Linked DNA regions of Schizosaccharomyces pombe. Changing the gene in region 2 together with the main gene of any one other region gives a genetic interaction. Each region holds a gene or a part of one and is shown on either strand. Other genes may lie near its edges.

Region 1 (3,542 bases), 1.5 Mb from region 2:
TCGGGAGGAGAGAAGACGTTAAGTTCTCTAGCCCTTGTCTTTGCTCTACATAATTACAAACCGACTCCTTTATACGTTATGGACGAAATCGATGCTGCATTAGACTTTAAAAACGTTTCGATTGTTGCGAATTACATTAAGGAAAGAACTAAAAACGCGCAGTTTATTGTTATTTCTTTAAGAAGTAATATGTTTGAGTTATCTTCTCGTTTGGTTGGCATTTATAAAACGGCGAATATGACTAAGAGTGTCACAATCAACAACAAGGAAATACTTACAGATTAACTGCACATTCAAATAAAAACGTAGAAAATTGGAAACTAGATATTTAATAATTTACGAATTTTTGGCTACTGAATGTCAGTGTTTCATAATTCACAGTGTGCATACTAATAAATCTATGTTATGAGAAGATTAAACTAATTTAGTTTTGTGGCACCCAGTTTATGTTAATGTTTCAGAAATCTGTTTATGAACGTAATAGGACTACAAATATATAAAATTAATCTTCACTCGCTTTTAAAGCCTGTAAAATCTGCGCAAAGGAATTGTATATAATTAAATATGTTGTTTACATCATCAATTTCAGAAGGTATCTACAATTTGTAGTTACATAGTATAATATTTTAGTGGGTAATGCTTTTAAAGATTTATTGCAATCGTATGCATACCATATAGAACGTATCCAATTTTAAGTAATTTAATTTTATGGTAGTAAATTAAGAATAATTAGAAACAAACAATAAATTAGATTAAACAATATGAGTCGTAAACTTAAATAGGAAATCTCAATGCACACGACGAGATAAATGAAAGACCAATTAACAAGAAAAATGCAAATGATAAAAGCTTTCCAGCTAATAAGAGATAGGAGGACTAAGGAAGAAAGTAATGAAGGAAATAAATGAATGTTAATTACCACATGGCTAGCACCATGTAGCCTAACATGGAGCATCTGAGTAACACTTATTTTATAGCCAGTCGCACTGATGGTGTTCCCACCCATTAAACTCAGTCAAACCCAGGTGCTGAATTTTCCTCTTCGATTTCGATCGGTTTCTTTTAAAGGACAAGCTTGATTCGCCTTTCACAGCAGATTTAAGACGAGAATACGCATCAGAAACTCGGGAAGTAACATTTCTTTTAGAAGGTGTTCTGTCTATTAGTCCCTTGCGAGAGGAAACTTCTTCAATATCGAAAAACTCTATATCATTTGCAGAATTTTTTAAAGTGCTTTTACTACTCCTTCTATTGGCTCGTTTTTGAGCAACAAGCTTCTGAATTGCGGCGCATTCTAATCTGTATTGCGAATTGCTAAGTTCCTCACCAAGTGCACCTCTTGCAAGCCGTGCAGGGGAGGATGGTGAGGCATAACGACTATGGTTTGAAGAAAGACCAAAACCCTGCTTTCCAACGCTGTTTAGCTGTTTCGAAACCGAATATTTATGAAATCTTAACTTTAATGGAGAGATTGGTGAAAGTAAAGGACTTGAATCACCAATGGAGTTCGATGCCGCTTCCAACAGCCATGGCGAATGCTGCGAAATGTTTTTGTCCCAAGGTGATACTGGCGACTTTAACTCTTTATATATGGCATTGATCAGTTCGTCAGATATATGATGTGATAGCTTCAGTGAATTAGAGGTGCTATCTCCAGAACTTGACCTTGTTCTATCGCTTTGATCATCACTGCCATCAATGAAACAGCTGGTTTTTATATTATGGAGTTGCAAGGTTGCTGGTTTTTTCCTTATACCATTCATTGTAAGTTTAAAAGCAATTAATCTGCTTGATAAAAAAATTAATTGACTATTTTGTACTTAATAATGAAGCTAGGAGATCTCTGTATTCAATTATTGTTAAATCCTACGATTCTTATTTCAATGAATCAAGAAATAATATATCGTTAGTAAGATAACTTTTATTTACAGTAGGCCACGAGTTAGCGTGTTATATACAAGACTGAGATCACAAGGTTTCTTTGTTCATGGAAGACAAAGAAAGCTTTTATTGACTTCAATAATACGTAAATTTTAATTAATTATTAAGCTCAATAAATTATCGGGAGTTTTGAAATATTAATTTGTTTTCTCATGTTAGATGGTAATTCGAGATAGCTATTTGGCGGTTAGGTTAAACCAAAGCTCTTGAACCAAAGCAAAAACATAAACTGATAGCTACTTTTAGAATATTTGAGATAGTAAACATTAAAAACTATACAAATATTCATTTAAGAGATTACAAATTAATTTTCAACACCAACCGGTGCACTAATAATAAATTAACTAAAATCAACTTAAACGTATGAATAAATAAAATTTGTAACGGTCCTCATTATACCGACATTTTCATGTTCACAATGAGTCTCATAGACAGGTCATTAATCGGGAAAAAGCCATACTTTCTGGCATTGTGCCTAATAAAGGTACAACCGGATCTTCAAAATATTAAATTCAGGTTCTATTTTTATCATTGTATATAAACACAAGGACTATACAAACCTTTTCCCAATCACAATTTTCAACATAACAGATGCTTTCAAAAAATGGAGAAACGTTGAATAAACAGAGAAACAATATATGTCTATGGTATTCATAAGATATTGTAGAAGGACAAATATGTCCAATTTGCTTTTTGAGACGACGTGCAATAAATAAATAAAAAACAATTGCGAACCATCGTATCACAAAATTTTAAATCACAACTTGCCATATGTTTGTAGATGTTGGAAATGCGATGTTGTCTTCATCTTCGTTACCCACTTGAAGCTGCTTTAGCAAAACTTTCTTTTCATGAAGCATTTCATTCCATGGATCTTTATCGTCGATCGCTGGATCTAGAAAACATGATTCATCAAAATTAATTTGAGTAAGCTTATTTTGCATTTTAGTCTTATCTTTATCTGCATCCAAAGCAAGATTCATGGTATCTGGTTCCTTTAAAAATCCGATTTCAGAGTTGATTTCATTACCTAAATCAGCCCAAAGCTCCGAATCATCATTAAATGAAAATTTTCCGTCCAATGACAAAATATTAGATGGACTAAGTGAGTTTTTGTTATCTGTAAATGATAAATCTGGAGTTGACGGAGGAATGAAAAACGACTGAGGTGTTTTCAAAATAGAACTAGGAGTCTGTGATGATTTGATAGCAGAAACTTCTTCTTCATGGTCTACAGCCACAAATGCATCGATTGCGTACTTCAAAGGATTAGCAATTGCTTCTTCCCGAGCTTTAGCCATTCCTTCCTCTTTGGCTATAGTACCTGGAGAAACACTAGAAGGTATTTCATCTACACTTGACATTATAACATCAGGAGTATTTACGACTGAATCCTTAGGTTTTTGAACTGTCGATAAGTTTTCTATCTTTTTCTTCTTAGAAGGCGGTAACTTGAGATCTTCTGGTTTTAAACCATGTTTCATGACTTGTGATGCAATCTTCTGTTTGGCTTGCAAATCCGGCTGAGATACATCCAAGGATTGGAATGCAAGTTTACTGTCAACAGGAAAAGATGTGTTACCAACAGAATTTGCTTTGGC
Region 2 (7,275 bases):
GTGTGTTTGGTAAGGGAATAAAAAAATGAATATTTGCAAAGTTTTTGACATCGAAGGACCGTGATTTTCTTAAAGAATGAGAAGAAATCAAGCTTAGACGAAGTAACCTGTATGTCACATTGTACATAGCAAGAAAAAAAAAAAATCAATAATGTTCCATAGAAATAAACCCTTAAACGTACTTCCTTCTTTTGTCTATTAAACAAATCCGAAAACCTATCGAGTTATGTAGTCAAAAGAGTGTAAAAACCCAAATATATATATATATATTTTTTTTCAAATTATATTTATAAATTTATTTCCTTTTTTTTAAAGAATAATCTTCTTCCTTGCGAACAACCAAAACAAATTAAAACCAAATGCGATGTTGTATGAGATTTACTTGTGAGCAGAAATATGCCCAAACTCCACGATATGTTAAGCAAATACACTTTCGTTTAGTTATATAGGATTTGCTAATTTACTATAACATGAGGCTGCCGTTCGTTGCATACGTTGTATGTGGAAGTTGAGCATAACTTGCTAAGCATGGGTATTACATATAAGTACACCTTTGTGGTACGCAATTTTTATATTGATAATAACAGCGTACAAAGTAAAAATTAGCACGAAAAGATGAAAGGCAATATATTCTTGTTCATATTACTATCGTATGGAGGCCAGGGGCTAAGCAGGCCTACCTAAACTACACAAATTCAAAAAAATATCCGCAAGTATCAGACATGTCTTATAAATATTAGATTAATAATTTAAACATCCAAAAACAATTATAAACTCATTACTAACCCTAGCGCAATCACCTTTTATGTAAACACTAGTCTAACTTAGTAAATAAACTTATGAAAAGAAACAAAGAGGGAAGGTCAAAGAATAAGCAGAAAACTAAAGATCAAACTTATTGAATAACAGAAGAAAAACGATAATAAGAAATCATAAAAATCATTAATTTACAAAAATTTTAGAAAAGTGAAGGTTCGGAAATTTGGAGTTCATGCGGAAATTGACAAATTATTCGGCCTGGACGGGGATTCATTTAAGTCCTGTGAGGTTGAGGAAGACAATAAAACCGAGTAAGGAAATAATTCAAATACAAATTGTTGAATCTGAACACGGTAATGGAATTTTCCCAGAATGGTCATACAAGCTTTCACCAAACGTTTAGAGGAGAAAACTTTAGCATTTTTCGAACGAATCTTTGTTAGTTGCCGTGCTGACTCGTTTGTTAAAACATGGTTTGACAAATTGGAAACGAGCCTAATTACCTCTCTCTCTGAGTTAGTTAAAGAGCTAAGTAATGAAGAAAACTCAGGAGTTGGCACGCGCTCATTTACAAACTCAACATTTCTCCTTGGAGTTGATAATACTTGTCCAGCATGTCTCGGAATGCAAATTCCTTGTGAAGTGCCCATTAAAGACATAAGGCTATACCAATGCAGTGATTCGAGTATCTCAACGCCTTTAGAAGTCCTGGAAATCAAGCCTAATACAAAATAAGCAGTTCCTCGAACAGTAGGAATCAATGAATTTTCGGCATATTTGACAATCAACGGTATCGTATCATGGTTAATTAAAAACGTAATACCCTGATCGGTTTTTCCAATGTTTCCTATAGCCCAAAGAGCACTCTTTAACTGCCTGATGGCTTCATTTCCTAACGGTTTATCGTAAAATTCCACCAAGGTACCCATAAAAGATTCAAAATGCCCAGAAGACTCGAGAACCTCACAACCTTGTGGAGATTTGACTAATTCGCCATAAAAGTGTAGGGGAAGTATATTTTCATCTGGTTCATTGTTTTTCTTGTCAATAATTTTGAGATTTGAAACAAAAGAAAGGAAAAAATTTTGCTCCAATAAATCCACGTAATCTATATTTCGATGATGGTACCAATTATCGAGTTCATGTTCAATAAAATTAATTTCAGAAAGGTAATGAAATCCGACAGTTGTAGCAAGAAAACGTAAAAGTAAAGGTGAGCCAATTTCACCCAAATGGGCCAATGAAGGTTGAAGCTGAACAACTTGAGCCAGCAAGTTTTCATTTCGAGCACAAACTTCATTCAACACCTTCACTGCTGTTTTACATACTTCCAAGCAAGGATCGTACAGTTGAAATATCAATAGAGAAATTGCCCAGTGATTTAAGTTGTCATTGGCAGACTCAGAATTGATTAAAGCCGCAAGATGCTTGGTTGCAGTTAAGCGTACAGCCTGTTGCCCGGTATTAAGCGCCTTAGAAAATATAATTCGTGTGTGCCCCTCTAGCCGATAATCAAGATTAGTCAGAAAAATAATTATGAGATCGTCTCTGTTCCTCAATTCTGTCAAATGGTAAAGTGTAGTAAAAATCCTCCATCGTTCCATAATTGCATGACCTTCCTTTTGGCTTGACAATACTTTTAACATAGGAAAGTAACCGTGGGTGAGGGTTTTCTGAAGCCTACTGTTCGAGAAAATCGGCTCAGAAACCTGTTCTGAATATCCGTCTATCTGGCTAAGAGATTCTGCTATTTGTTTAATCACTTTGCTTTCAGAAAGATATTTAACGCCTTCCGGATTGGCTAGTAAAGTCCTGAAAACAAGACAACCAACCTTTATAAATTTTTGATTTGGTTTAGTGTTTTGTATGGAAGAAAATCTGTTGGAAAAGGGTTTATAAAATGCTAAAAGCCGTCTCATAAATTTTGTGGTTCGCAAAGTTTCATCAATACGTTTCGGACTTAGCAATGGACCCTCCATAATTTGGACAAGTGTATCCCATCGCCATTTTTGATAGTTTTTTGTAGCTAACACGTTGGTTTCAGCTAGCATACTACGAAAATGTGAATCATCAATCTGCATGCCCATTTTCAATTTAACATGCTCAACCTGTCTTTGCCCCCGAAAAGATCCATCAGTTTTTTGCTCCTTAAAAAGAAGAGAGGTTGTCTGCGAGAAAGGTTGTGTTGCAGAATGGAATTTAACTCTATTCAAACTTTCAATGGATTGAAGAACAGAAGTGGCAACAAACCTGTCTTCGGCAGTAAATTGAGAAGCCATATTAAATAAAGATGGCAAGGATTGTATTTTGGCTCCTAAATGAATCGGCAGTAGCTCATCAGACAGCCTCAATACCTCTCCTAGAAGATATGTAGCTTTACGTGAGGCTGATGGGTCATCGCTGGCCCTAATCATACATACAATAGATTCAACCAAACCGAGCTCCAAAAATATAAATAATAAGACGGCTGTAAAATGTTGGCGTAGCGACATGTACTTTTTGTTGGAACCATCCGGTATATTAACCATGTTTATGTTATCATCATTAGATACAGCCTGATTTTTAACGACTGTTAATCGTTTTCCGGCCAAAAAAGACTCTGACCAACTTGAATACTCAACTTGGAAAATTAAAAAGAAAAGATCAATTACATCGCTTCGTGGAGCAAAGGATGGAACCCGAAGTGTATCAACAATCGACCGAAGAGCCTGAAAATCATTGGTAGACAAAGCCAATAATCCAGACCATGAATTAAGCAAAACAGAGGCAACTTTGGCGGAAGATTTCATGGCTTTTGCAGCTTGTTCAGACTGTTCCTCAGAGGAATTAAATGTATCTCGCGAAGAAGAACTAGTAAAAGGTGAAAGTAAAATGCCAATATCGTAGGGTAAATTTACGTAACAAGCGCTTTCAGGATCATCCAAAAGATATACTAATGCAAGTGCAGCACTAGCTGCTAAATTCTCAGAAATACTTCCATCGATTAGGGAGATCATTAAAACCCTTAAACCATTAGCTTTAAATAAAATTTTTGGTCGAATAATCATTAACTCGATAAGAGTTTCAACAGCAATTCCACGACTAACATCTGATACATGCTCACAAATTGAAATGATAGTCCTCGTAATACCTGAAAGATAATCCTCATGTCCTTCAGTTGATGAAAGAAAATAAAGAGTTCGGATTAGTCGGAATGCTTGCTCTCGTTCAATTTGATATGCATCGGTACCAGAAAGTAGAGACTTTGACAAGATCCAAGGTAAATTCAACATTTGACAACAAGAGAATGCTGTTGCGTCAAGAAACAAATGCCTTAGTAGTCTATAAACAGAAGCCGTAACTTCAGAGACATTCAACTCGAGCATTGAAAGTATGGTCGGAGTAATCAAGGAGAAGTTTTTTGCATAAGCGGGATCAGAATGTTCATGTAAGTATTCACATAAATTATTTGAGGAATCGATTACATCCTTCATACTGCCTTCAAGACAAGCCTTATATATATTATCAAGCCAAGGATTTAATGGAAATTGTGAGAAATTCGATTGCAAACTAGAAGGACGTTTTCCGTTAGGTTGAGTATCTTCAGAAGAAGAATTATTTTTTTCGTTGACATTTTCAAAGTCAATTCTTTGAATGACGGTAGGAGTTAAATTGCTATGCGCATTTCTGGTAGGACCTATTAATTCACCAGTCCCACTGACTGTAACACTGCAACTATCGCTACATCCTGCTTTGTAAGAAAATCTCGTACTATACTTTTCCTGCAATGAGCTCTTTCGACTGACAGTCGCAGAAGCAGACCTCGTGAGACTGGTTGAGCCAGTTTTTGCTTCACCATTTTCTCCTTGGAAAGATTCAATGCTAGAAACTAATTCCTCTATCTTTTTTTTAGATGATTCGAGCTCATCGGTACATTTCTTTTTTAACATTTCTTTACGTTCTTTTGTTTCTTTTTTAAAATTGGTGTCGAAGACTTGCAGCAACGTTTCAGCGCCATCCCGTATTTTGCACTCAACTTCGAGCTTTCCCTTCAAATCCTCAAGTAACTTGAGCCTTTTTGAATCAGTGGTATTCATTTTTTTGATAAAGTCACCATTAGTTTTGGCATGGGAACTTATATCCAAAGCAGTATCGGTTTGTCCCCTTCGCACAGGTTTCATGAGCACTGATCATTAAAAGCAGGAATAAAAAAGCTATCTCCTTCCATAAGCGCCTTCATGAAATAGCCTTATAAAGGGATAGTATGTTTTCGTACTAATACTTATTGCGTGCAACACGCGATTGCTTACTGGGCTAGTCAAACTCTCAATTTTTAAGCAATCTAGTAAAATTAAAGATATTAACACTTAAATAATAACTTAAGATTGTGAAGAGTCCTAAAATGATAATGCTTGCGAACTATGCTCGTATGCTCATGGATACCCCAACGGCTGAACTTAATCGGAGTTCTGTTACCGGCGTTAACGATTGTACGACATGGAGTGATGTTTCGCTATTAATGGGCAAAACAAATTTCCTTAGAATTCGCTAATAAATAATTAGATACTAGGTACTGGTTCACTAAAGAATCGAATCCTTAATGTTTACTTTACAGTCTCAAGATTGCTAGTTAACAGTATACGAAAACATGAAGGATAAATCAAAGCAAGAGAATAAGATGAGTAAATTATATTACTACAATCAACTATTAAAATTTGTTTATATTTTTATTTATGGAAACAAAAGGCTAAACAAAAAATGTTTTAACAGATATGCCCAAGCCAATATAGAATTAAAATGCCATTTTGAGATACAAATATTGCTTTCGAAACATTTCAAAAAAGATTTTTTTAAAACGAAACGATAATAAAAAAGACAGAAAAGAATCGAAAATAATGTGAAAAGATAGTAAACAAAAAAAAAATTTTAACGAAAAAATAAATATTGGTAACGTGGATAAACAACTTCATTCATTTACCAAATCTCCTTTATGTATTTAAGGTTAAGTGGACTTTGCCAAAGAGCAAGTTGTTGGGTAGCTTCCAGCCTGCTCATTTTTCCGTATTGAACGCAAACATCAATCAAGGCATTTTCAACACCATCTAAAAATCCCTTTTTACCACCACAAAGATAAACCTTCCCATGAGGATGACTAAGAACACTCCATACAATGTCACCACGGTGTCGAATCTCGTCCTGTACATAGGCATGTTGGTGAGAACGTGATTCAACAACAAGATGGTTGGGGCCACTAGTACCGTCTTTTTTAACTTCGAAGGAATCCATTTCAGTTTCGGTTTGTTGGCTGACTGTAGAAGATGCATCATCGTCTGAAGACTTTTGAAGCGGGTTTTCCCACTCACCATGATAGAGCTCATCCAATTCTTGGTCGCGGCATCCATGGAAAACCCAAACTTTACCAGCACAAGTGGCATTTGTAAGACGTCGTTGCACAAAACCTCTAAAGGGAGCAACACCTACACCGGCACCGATTAGGCACATAGGGCCATCAGAAGCAAAATGTGTGGCAAATGCGTTTTTGTGCAGACCGCGGTACATTGGAAGGACGAGATCTCGTTCACCATTTAAAAATCTCAATGCCAATCTTTTCAAAAAACCAGAACCAATACCAGAACGAGTGCCTCCTTCAACTTTATTGATTTCAACAACTGTAACCGCAAATTCCAATACATTATTACTGACCTTGGGATCGTTTGACAAAGAATACCATCTAGGCATAAGCTGGGGAAGCACGGTTAAAAGGTGATCAAGAGGAAGTTGAACACTAGGGAAAGCCTTTAGCAGAGTGATAAGTGTAACGTTGTGGTCCCTTAAATCACAGAAAGCACGTTGTCCCAAACGACTGACCAAAAACAACAAAACTTGCCGCTCGGTATCATCCTTGGCGTATTCGGCAAGTAACCGAATAAGCTGCTTTTTTGGGGCGACAGACATAAACTCCACGGTCCATTTAAGAAGCTCACGCCTGGTTGTAACGAGTTCTCTAGGTGTGTCTTCTGCCCAGATGGTGGGCCAACGACCTCCATCGGTTTTTAAAAGGACAGGGGCATCTGCCTGGTCGGGATTGATATGAAGTAATTGTAAAAGCTCATCCACATCCTCTTCGTTGTTGGGAGCCATTACACCAAACGACCCTCCAACCATCCACTCTTCGCCTTCAGGAAGGGGATAGTTGGAAACGTCTAGTTCAAAATGGAACACACGTTTGACAGCACCTGGTTTAGTGAGCTCACGAACGTCTAGTATAGGGGCGGGAAAGACACTGAACGGAGGGTGTGGTTGAACATAGTGAGGAGGCATTCTAGAAGGAGTTGAATGAATTTGAAAGTTGGGGTCTTCTTTGGCACGAGCCTCATCGATATCAATCAAAGAGACATGATTCTCGGGAACTTTGGGAATTCTGTCAAGAGTAATATTTTCATGTAGAAGACCTAGATCCATGTTCAAAGCCTGGAAGGTAGGGTTTAATGAAAGTTTGGAGAAGGTTTTGGAAAGTTTATTTACCGACTCATCGAC
Region 3 (4,330 bases), 1.7 Mb from region 2:
CATTTTCTACTCGAGTCCGTTGATATGTGGAAAGTATAGCGCCGGTAGAAACGGCTTCGAGATCTGGATGATTTGTCAATACACGCTTTATGAGTCTATATAAGTCTTCTGTTTCATCCTTTTCTGTAAATTGATAATCCAAGTTTTGATTGATACTTTGTCCACCGATTTTCTCTCGATATAACGGTAGATCGAAGCATTCAGCATACAATGGAATTACATCGTGTCCAACACTTTGGTACATGAAAGAGTCAATCTCATCTTTACCATCTTCAGGATGAAGATTTGCTAGGGCTACTACTTCATGGCCTAAAGAGACGCAATGCATCAAGTTGAAGCAGCTATCCTTTCCACCGCTGATTAGCCCTAAGACCTTCATTAATGGTTTTTCTTAACTCTAAAATACTTGTAAATTTCCCTATTTTTCAGTTCAAGCTTTCTTCGTGTTTGTATATGGCAACATTAATTGTTTACTTCAAAAACATATATAAATAACGACATTACTACAATACGGTATTTATCAATGATCAAGATATATTGACTAAATAAACTAAAAGAACTCGAAATCTAATAATACAAATTAAGACAAAAAATTTAAATGTTAAAACTTTATGCTTGAAACCAACACGTAAAGTATAGCTCCGATCTCCACAGTAACGTAGGATGAGGATAGAAAGGTTCATGATGAAAAGACGCTTGCGGCTGAACATAAACAAAGCAATCTTCCATTAATGAACAATGAAAGGAGAAAGAACTAAAAATTAGCAAAGATATACTTCAGGAATATAACACTATCGCTTTATTTCATCATTCACAGCACTAAAACCGCTCAGCAGTTTGTGCAAATTAAAGTGAAGGACGAAATAAAACAGATAAAAAAATTACTGCCAAGGAAAAAAAGAGGCAGAAAGAAGAGCAAAATTAAGGGTAACAACCAACAAAAACCGGCAACGATGCATAAAAAAAACCTAAATGCGTTTATGAAATTACCAGATTTCAAATAGCAATTGATAAAGCATGTACAAGCTAAAAAAAAAATAAACTACAATTTATGAAATATAAGACATCATAAACTGTCTATTTGAAGTATTAAATAATTGACAACTTGATCTTCTTTTAATAACAGGCAAGAATTCTACGGACAGAGTCCCGTAGTGTTAAGCTTTAATGAAACCAAACATTTAAAAGGGCTGAGAAACCTTTTAACCTTCTAGGAAAGATTCTGGTTCCATAAAACACATATTAAAGCAATAATCAAAATAAATAACAAGTTTAATCTCAAAAGCAGATAAGTTAAAGTACTGAAGGACTTACGAAAACAGAAGGTAAAAGGACACAGACATCAAGTGGCATTCTAATGCATGATTACTAATAATCCAAGGGCATAACTCGCTGAGTAAAAGATAGGCAGGTCACTGCGATGAACAAGGAATGGGAAACTCTAAAGTAAAAGATGAAGCTCTGCATGCGAAATGGTATTAAGAAACTTTTGAACAACAGCAAAACTTTTGCTATCCTTTACGAGGATACGTTCGATTTAACCATTCATTGTAAAGCTTCACCTGACGCACCAATGATTTTGTAAACGTTGTATCAGAAAACAATCCAGAAAACATACTTCCATAATCATTACGGACAGCGCAAATCCATAAAACACCCTCTTCCTTACCATCTCCGTCCAGTTTCTTAGAAACAAAGTCAACAGAGTCATAAAGAGCAACGACACCATTCCCTCCTCCACTGGAGGAACCTGGATATGTAACTGGAGTTTGAAGAACAATAAAAGAATCCGGGTCCAGCATCACAGAAACCACCAATTGTCTGTAAACTCGATTCCGAAAGAACCAAGGGGTTTTGTACTTGTACATCCAAACTGAAACAAATGTGAGTAATTAAATACAATAATAATGGTAAATATAAGCAAATAATGTATGCTTGAAATAAAAATTTTTTCATCCATGAAGGAAGATACATTACTCGCTTAAATGACATTTCAAACGTACTCTCAATTTCATCCTCGATAATAGTTTCCAATTGATGTGCTGAAAATACCAATGGATCATAATCAGCTTCCTTTTTGATATGTTCGTATAGCAATCCTTTCTAAGCTGTTGTTAGCATTTAGTGCGATGGATGAATAGGTTGAAAAATCGATTTCTCAAGTTATCAAAGGACTAATGTTATTCCTATTTTATGGTATTAGAGTCTCCAGTACGTTGTATATACAGAGGTAAATTTTGGAACCATTTTACAAACCACTATCCAACACTTGTAAGAACTTACCTTGAAAGTTTTCAGGGAACGTGTATGTTTAGACACCCTACCATACCATGTATGTCCAGTATAAGCAGGTGCCTTTTCGTATAGCGCAACTCCATCATGATTTCCAAGGTGTTTCCATTTAGGAATTTGTTCGACAATTTTCAAGGCGTCCTGAACGATCCTCTCTCTCCAACTCTCAAAATTAGGATCTGTCGCTTTCAAAACATCGTCCGAAGAGATTGGACATATTGAATCTGAACCAAAAAGATCTTGTTGCATTCAATGGTCTAGTTGGCTAATGGTGAGGTTAAATTTTTAGGGTAGTAGTAGTAGGTCCTAGTCGTACGTAGCTTCAATAAAATCGTCAATACAACAAAAGACTCCAACATTTCTCTTTTATATCATTTTTAAAACAAAATATAATATTTATGAGTAGTTTGTCAGCTGTTGGAAATTTTCACCTTTGCCACTGTGTGCGATCGTTTGGTTTAAAGAATGTACCATTTAAAATGGCCTAAGTATTACCCAGTTCATGATTATAACAAAGTATAGTAGTTAAATATTATAAAATGCTTGAATTCTCAATGAAATTATGTTTTCGCTATGAAAGAACCATGCTACATATTCAGTATATATAAAGGAAATACAAATAGCTTGTTTGTAAACTTTCTACCGTTACCTAATTATTGTTGGATTTCTTACAGACTATTAGGTCAAGCGATTAAACCATAAAGCAACTCATTGATGATCAATTTACTTCCATCATCTTTTTAAGGTAACTTACTCTAACTAGTAAAAGTCATGTTAGCTCCAATACGTAAGTTGAAACCAAAAGCAAATAAAATGCAATTCAGTAATCATATAGAGTAAGTTGCAGTGCATGTTAACCAATTCATTCATAAAGTATCTAGCGGATGCTTTGAGAGAACAATAAACTCGAGCTCGTTTATTTATACCGTTTACAATCAGGGAAAAAATTATATCTTTTTACCATTCGATTCACCAAAATGAATCAATTAGGAAGTATTTCGTGAGCTTAAAGAATGCTTAGTATCTCAAAACGCATTTTCATCTCTGTTGTATCGCATATCATTTTGTTATTCATGAATGCTTTACTATGTGCAAATTATACGGTTTGAGTCCCGTAACCATACTGCTTTTCAGCAAATGCCCATTTGGAGGAGACAGATTGATCAGTCTGGAATTCGATGCCCTCAGGTGTAATGGTAGCAACACTAAATTTGTTTAAACTTCTAGCATCCCTATAAAACAAAACACGCATACATTCATCGATAGTAGCACGAGCGCTTTCTTTAGAAAGCGTTTTCCAGCGATCATCGTCAGTGGCTTTACGCAACATAGGAAGAGCCAAATGCATGGCAAACCCAGTTGCGATTGCCGGGGCAGAATAAGTAGTTCCTCGAAGATCTGCAAAAGCAACATATGGTTCCTTATTTTCCCCATCCACCCCGGCTACAATGAGTTGATTCCAATATGGGTCAAGTTTGTTTCTGCGAGCGTACAACACCTTCGACAAGTATTCATGAATATACGAAGGTTGTAAGGCATAGCCGTCACCATAATTTCCTTCTTTTATTTCTAATTTTTCTAATAGGCGCTGGATTTGTTGATAATCCGAAATATCCCCACCGGCGCCAACAATCGTATTATCACCTACTTTTGTCAACCGTTCAACATCATAAAAGCGCGCTAATGATCCATAGGATGCCAGGTTATCAGCAGCAATCATTACACCGTCTGCAAACTTCAAAGCAAGGACTGATGATCCAGTTACTATCGGTTGAACAGTGCGTTGAATTGGTGCATCGGTTGATTCTTCAACTTCCGAGCCACTAGGAAAAAAAATGTCTTTTTGAGGCTTTCCCCAAACCTCTGTTAATTCTAAAAAACTCATTTTTTGCAAATTAAAACTGTGTGGTTCTTACTAAGTTTTCGAGGTTGATGTCGCTTTATAACACATAACCACCATGCACCTATTACGAAGACAGTGTTTGAAAAGTTTGTAGTAATTTTGAGAAGGTTGCTTATTAATAGCTTTCAAAAGTTT
Region 4 (6,401 bases), 2.2 Mb from region 2:
CGTAGAAACCTTGACAATTGTCAAGTGTTTTAGTAGTTGGAAGAAGAATGCAAATCTTATGAGCAAGGCTCATACCTAATAGGAATTAGTAAGACCCAGCAAACCGGAGCGAACGCCTTTCGTAAGTACTCTAAAGTTCTTTATTTATGTATAGTGCGAAAGAAGGCAATCTTACAATAGGTTATTATTAGTCGCTATTTAGTAAACATCTAAAATGGCTGAAATCTAATATAGGACACATTCGATTAAAAGGAATTAATTGAAATATTGATAATTTGAATTTCAAATAAAAAATCACAAATACTCAGAATACTTATAAGGGGCCATTCATACGCTCGCATCAAATTATGTTGCTGATGCAATTGATACTTCACAAAGGTACTCAACGAGTATAGATTAAATGGATTTATAGTGGATTCTATACAATGAAACACATAAAACAATAACATGCACTACTGAATTCATTCTTATAAAATTCACCGGCAGGAAAACTAACGCACTTTCCTGACGTTAACGATTATTAACGAGACTAAAGTTAAATAACATTTAATGAAGACAAACTGGTAACTAAACTCTCCATTACTTTTGCATTCAATATGATCGAAGTTTTATGGTATGTTTGACTTATTTTACTTTCTGGGAGCATTGAAATTGGAAAACATAAAGCTCTAACTAAATTTTAGTAACGATCGTCTAGGGAAAAAAGTACGCGTAAAATGTATGCCTGATGACACAGTTGGAGATTTTAAAAAACTTGTTGCAGCTCAGACCGGTACAGATCCAAGGTAAGGATTAAATTCATCATTTGTTAAAAAAATGTTAACAAAAAAATAGAAGGATCGTCTTAAAAAAATGGCACAGCGTCTTTAAGGATAACATCACATTAGCCGACTATGAAATACACGATGGAATGAGCTTGGAGATGTATTATTCTTAAAAAGCGAAACTTTTATTTTCTTAAAAAATAATATACTTGGAAGTTTTATGTTAACGAAAGTAGCAAATTGACTTTAAACTTGTTTAATGAAAATCTGATGGATAGAGTTATATTGTTGAGCAGATTTGTTAAGTTTTTTACAAAGGAAATTTGGTTTATTATTTTCAATTTTTTTCAATTCACCTTCGAAGGTTTTGTATTTACCTGTTCAAACTACTAAATAAATAATGATTTTTCGTTGAAATGCTATCTTTTTGAGTCTAATAATTTGGATACTTTTTTATCTTTCAAATTGCTTACCTCCCCAAATTGTGATATAAGTCAGCTAGACAATGATAATAATATTGTTTTCTAGCTGCCATATCAATAGTTGTTCATCAAGCCTTTTACGCTTCTAGTCAAGTGTAACCGCTTTAAAAATGGAAACCAGTATGTTTATTCTTAATATGAATGGATTTTTCAAATTCAAATTTACCATTAAATTTACAAGGCTTATATCTTGTCATGGGTAGGACCAATTTCCTAGGTTCATGACCGTTTATGAAATTATGTCTTCAATGCTTCGTATTTATTCATCATACCAAGGAAGATGAAACAAATTATCAAGGAAAAGAGGGATTCCGAATTATATTAGTATAAAGCTTTATAATGTTACGCCACTGTTTTATTTCTTAGCCCTGCTTTCTTCTGAATGTAATATTTTTTTTTTTTTTTAAGAAAATAATTCTTTGAAACAGGTTTTAAACATTTTTAGTAATGATGAAACTCAATTGACCTGCTTTTCAAAAAATCAGAAAATTCATTAACATGAAAAAATTTCAGATATGTATTGGTTACCAAAAAATCATCTACGGGAGTATTCAATTTTTTTAAAACTATTCTCTGAATTGATTATACTTCTTTTACATTTTGGAGTTGTAATAGCTTGACTCAGAAGTATCTGCTAAGCCTCCATCTTTACTCAAGCTAACCTTTCCCAACTTGTCATCCAGACGATCACCTTCGTTGGTCTAAGCTTACCAGTCTAAAAGGTCGAAACAAAAGTACTGCTTTATTCTTTGAGAATATAAACAAGTGTTGTTCAAAGTTCTAAGCCAGGATTTGCGTTTTTGTATGCTGGGTCTGTTGGTATTTAACCAGAGACGTGCTAGGTTCATAAGTCCGATTTTCTAGGACTTTCTTTTGAAACGTTCTAACAGTGAGCTTGGACAGTTTATAAATTCTTTTTTTATTTCTCACGGGTTCCTTTCAACATTTCTTTGGATTTTATGAGTGATAAGTGGATATTGTTCATTGTCTAGATTAATTGTTGGTAAATTCATCTATCTCTTAATTTTCAACATTGGAAAGTATATTCTTTGTGCTGAGCATTTAGGAATCCTTTACATCTTAAATACTTGCTTTTATACTGGCGTTTTAGAAAGTATCGAATAGCAGTGTCTTTTTTTTTTTTTTGTTTACAAGATTTTTTATTTTTACATTACCCCAACTTTCTTTTACTACTTTTTCTCGTTTTTGTTTTTGTATGAAACAGTTCCATAATGAGTGTTCAATATGATGCATTCAGTGTTGAGCAAACTTGTGCGGATTTAGAAACTGACATGTATAATGGCCTCTCTAGTCTCCAGGAGATCACGCGACGTAACAAGGTTCATGGAGATAATGATTTGAAGGTAGAAGATGAAGAAAACATGGTGGTTCAATTTCTTAAGCAATTTGTTAAAGATCCCCTAATTCTTTTGCTTTTTGCAAGTTCTGCAATTTCGGTGACATTGGGTAATATAGATGATGCTATTAGCATCGCTTTAGCTATAGTTATTGTCGTGACTGTTGGATTTGTTCAAGAGTATCGATCTGAGCAATCTTTAAAGGCGCTGAATAACCTTGTACCTCATTATTGCAATGTTATCCGGTCCGGAAAAACGGAGCATATTGTTGCTAGTAAATTGGTTCCTGGAGATTTAGTTATCTTACAAATTGGTGATCGTGTTCCTGCTGATCTGCGAATCGTTGAAGCTACCGAGTTGGAAATTGATGAATCAAATCTAACAGGGGAAAACTCGCCACGAAAGAAGAGTAGCGAAGCTATATCTTCAAACATATCTCTTACTGAAAGAAATAACATAGCTTTTATGGGTACCCTCGTTCGTCATGGTCATGGGAGAGGAATAGTTGTCGCTACTGGATCTGATACGGAATTCGGTCGTGTTTTCCTTACTATGCAGCAAACTGAAAAACCAAAGACGCCATTGCAGAACAGTATGGATGACTTAGGCAAGCAACTCTCTTTAATCTCTTTAATTGGTATTGCCGTCATTGTGCTTGTTGGTTTTTTCCAAGGTAAAAATTGGTTAGAAATGCTTACAATTGGAGTTAGTTTGGCTGTCGCCGCTATTCCTGAAGGTCTTCCAATTATCGTAACAGTCACCCTTGCTTTAGGCGTGTTACGCATGTCTAAGAAGAGGGCTATTATCCGTCGGTTACCCAGTGTTGAAACTTTGGGAAGTGTTAACGTTATTTGTTCGGACAAGACTGGTACTCTAACAATGAACCATATGACAGTTACTAAAATTTATACATGTGGAATGTTAGCAGCTTTCTCCTTACCAGAAAGTGAACATATAGAGCTAAGTGTTAGGCGCACTGTTGGTATCGAAAAGGCACTTCTAGCTGCTGCTTTATGCAACAATAGTAAAGTTCATAACAAAGCTGATTCTATTTTGGACACTACTTGTCCCTGGGCTGGATTTCCAGTTGATGTCGCTTTAATCGAATGTTCTGAGCGATTCGGGTTGAAGGATCCTCGTGAAACGTACAGTCGTATATCTGAGGTTTCATTTAGCAGTGAGCGCAAATACATGTCTGTTGCTGTCCAATACAACTCTAGCAAAATGAATTTCATGAAGGGAGCCACTGAACAAGTGCTGTCAAGTTGTGCATATTTTAGCGATCAGGATGGTGTTCAACACGAGCTTACTGCGGAAATGAAGGAGAACATTCAACGTAACGAGTTTGAAATGGCTGCTTCGGGACTCAGAATTATAGCTGTTGCCAGTGGTATAAATACCAATAAACTTGTATTTCATGGTCTTTTTGGCATCAACGATCCCCCTCGACCCCAAGTCCGCGAAAGTGTACAATATCTAATGACTGGAGGGGTTCGAGTTATTATGATTACAGGTGATAGCGTTGTTACTGCAATAAGCATCGCTAGAAGTTTGGGTATGGCTATTCCTAGTAATGACGAAGAAGCAATTCGTAACTATGCGCTGACTGGAGCTCAGTTAGATGATCTTGATTCTTCCTCTTTACGTGATGCCGTTTCCCGTGTAGTAGTCTTTGCAAGAACTACACCTCAACATAAAATGAAAATTGTTGAAGCCCTTCAAAGCCTTGGTGATGTTGTGGCTATGACTGGTGATGGCGTAAACGATGCACCTGCCCTCAAACTTGCAGACATTGGTATAGCAATGGGTCGACAAGGTACGGATGTTGCCAAAGAAGCGGCTGATATGATTCTTACCGATGATTCTTTTGCGACTATTTTGAGTGCTGTTGAGGAAGGTAAGGGAATATTCAATAACATTAAAAATTTCATTACTTTCCAATTGTCTACGAGTGTGGCTGCTCTTTCATTAATCGCCATTTCGTCTGTTTTCGGCTTCCAAAATCCCCTCAATGCCATGCAAATTCTTTGGATCAATATTCTAATGGATGGACCCCCTGCACAAAGTCTCGGAGTAGAGTCAGTTGATGAAGACGTGATGATGAAACCTCCTCGTCCAAGGAATGCTCCTATTATATCAGTTCAGCTTTTACAACGTGTTTTACTCAGTGCATTTATAATAGTTACTGTCACTATTGTGGTATTTAGAGTACAAATGCAAGACGGCAATGTAACAGCTAGAGATACTACTATGACTTTTACTTGTTTTGTTTTCTTCGATATGTTTAATGCTTTAGCATGTCGTTCCGAAACAAAATCGGTTTTCAAGCTTGGTATTTTCTCTAATAGAATGTTCAATATCGCAGTCGGAGGCTCATTAATTGGTCAAGCCTTGGTAGTTTATGCTTCCCCCTTTCAGCGTATTTTTCAAACTGAAGCTATTGGACTTAAAGATGTTCTAATATTGTTAGCTTGTACCAGTTCTGTTCTCTGGGTTGACGAAATTCGCAAATGGTATCGTCGCCGTAAAGGTCTTGTTAGAACAAAGAGCAATTATCTGCTAAGGAATGTATAAATGATACGTTTTGCGGTAACAAGTTGCATATCTTTGTGCTAAGTTTAAAATTACTTAAGGAGCTTTACTATTATTTTGTGAATACAAAATTCCAATGCTATATGTATTTAAAAAATTCCTGTATTTTATTAATTTTTTGACTAATGATTATTAGCTTTCCGCTGGTTTCTTATTCTTATGGCACAAAAGGGGTTTGCTTCTCTGCCATGAAGTACTCGAGTCTATACCATTCGTTTAAAAGCTTTCATCGTTACTTTTCATTTCAGTTTTTTTTTTCGAAAATCCTGTATCTTGGTTAATTTTCAAGCACTTAGTATGTTCAGGCTTTATTATTCATCACCTTGATGCAGTCCTCACTGGTTAGTCTTAAAACCAAATTATATGATTTTATTCTGACTAAAGGTTAATCTAAAACATATTAGTTGTAGTTTCTATATAGAAACAAATAATAAAGGCTTATCAAAATTAAAGGTTTTAAAATCGGTTGTCGCTTTTCATCATTTAATTAATGCAAAAGAAAAATTATACGAGATTAAACAGCCGCGTTGCTCTAAATTGTTTTTGTATCATTATATCTTGTGCTGTTTCAAAGTCAGTTTATACATGTTTATTGAACAGTTGATTCATGTGACCGACTCGCCTTAAGTAATTTTTCTTGTCATTAACGTTTGGTCTTCAATGAGTAAATTTTCCATTCATTAGATTGTCACAAGATGTTGGCATTATTGTTTTTATTTCGTGTACATCAACGCTATCGTCGCATATTTGTCGTCCCACTACCAAAATCTGAATGAGGCAAATAAGTGTGAGATAGACACAAATTTGAACCCGAAATTCAATTAAGCAAAGGAGGATGATGAGGTTACCCTCATGGCTTAAAAATTCTTCCTCTTGGCTCTGGACGGCGGCGTTATCAAGGACTGTTCAACGTCGACTATTAGCATTTGCCTTGAGAAAGCTTATTGGATCCATTCTTTTAGAAAATGTGCAGCCTGAGGATATAGACATCCTTTTTTCAAAAGGGGTCCTAATGTTGTCCAATTTACAGCTAAATTGTTCCTTTCTGAATGCAGTGGTGTCTCTTCCAATGATTAATTTTACTAAAGGAACGTTGAGGAGATTAATTTTAAGACTGAATGTTACTGATATTGTAAATTTAAACGTTGAATTAGAAGTCAATGGCTTAAGTTTGGAAATTGAACTAGTACCTCCTGATGAATCCT

What was found.
Region 1: mutations in ste20 (region 2) and SPOM_SPBC146.02 together harm fitness more than expected from each alone (negative genetic interaction), as found in Schizosaccharomyces pombe (one large-scale study listed by BioGRID).
Region 3: mutations in ste20 (region 2) and SPOM_SPBC577.11 together harm fitness more than expected from each alone (negative genetic interaction), as found in Schizosaccharomyces pombe (one large-scale study listed by BioGRID).
Region 4: mutations in ste20 (region 2) and pmr1 together harm fitness more than expected from each alone (negative genetic interaction), as found in Schizosaccharomyces pombe (one large-scale study listed by BioGRID).

Annotation. Positions count from the first base shown.
Region 1 is NC_003423.3:999,232-1,002,773, reverse strand, and holds SPOM_SPBC146.02 (uncharacterized protein), read right to left. Parts: upstream 1,924-3,542; 5' UTR 1,764-1,923; coding exon 972-1,763; 3' UTR 612-971; downstream 1-611. Other genes in the region: cut3 (condensin complex SMC subunit Smc4), read left to right, coding at 1-285; mediator complex subunit Med15, read right to left, coding at 2,694-3,542.
Region 2 is NC_003423.3:2,473,783-2,481,057, reverse strand, and holds ste20 (target of rapamycin complex 2 subunit ste20), read right to left. Parts: upstream 5,180-7,275; 5' UTR 4,920-5,179; coding exon 990-4,919; 3' UTR 596-989; downstream 1-595. Other genes in the region: SPOM_SPBC12C2.01C (uncharacterized protein), read right to left, coding at 1-127; SPOM_SPBC12C2.03C (methionine synthase reductase), read right to left, coding at 5,713-7,275. UniProt on the Schizosaccharomyces pombe protein: Component of TORC2, which regulates multiple cellular processes to control cell growth in response to environmental signals. TORC2 is required for cell survival under various stress conditions.
Region 3 is NC_003423.3:769,529-773,858, reverse strand, and holds SPOM_SPBC577.11 (uncharacterized protein), read right to left. Parts: upstream 2,566-4,330; 5' UTR 2,542-2,565; coding exon 2,284-2,541; exon of another isoform or gene 2,251-2,283; intron 2,104-2,250; coding exon 2,004-2,103; intron 1,874-2,003; coding exon 1,512-1,873; 3' UTR 517-1,511; downstream 1-516. Other genes in the region: dph6 (endoribonuclease), read right to left, coding at 1-379; pre4 (proteasome core particle subunit beta 7), read right to left, coding at 3,389-4,177.
Region 4 is NC_003423.3:239,147-245,547, reverse strand, and holds pmr1 (P-type calcium transport ATPase Pmr1), read left to right. Parts: upstream 1-1,905; 5' UTR 1,906-2,478; coding exon 2,479-5,178; 3' UTR 5,179-5,710; downstream 5,711-6,401. Other genes in the region: ubiquitin-like protein modifier Hub1, read left to right, coding at 597-613, 684-785, 835-937; autophagy-associated protein Atg2, read left to right, coding at 6,035-6,401. UniProt on the Schizosaccharomyces pombe protein: Transports calcium and manganese ions into the cell. Regulates cell morphogenesis through control of manganese and calcium homeostasis.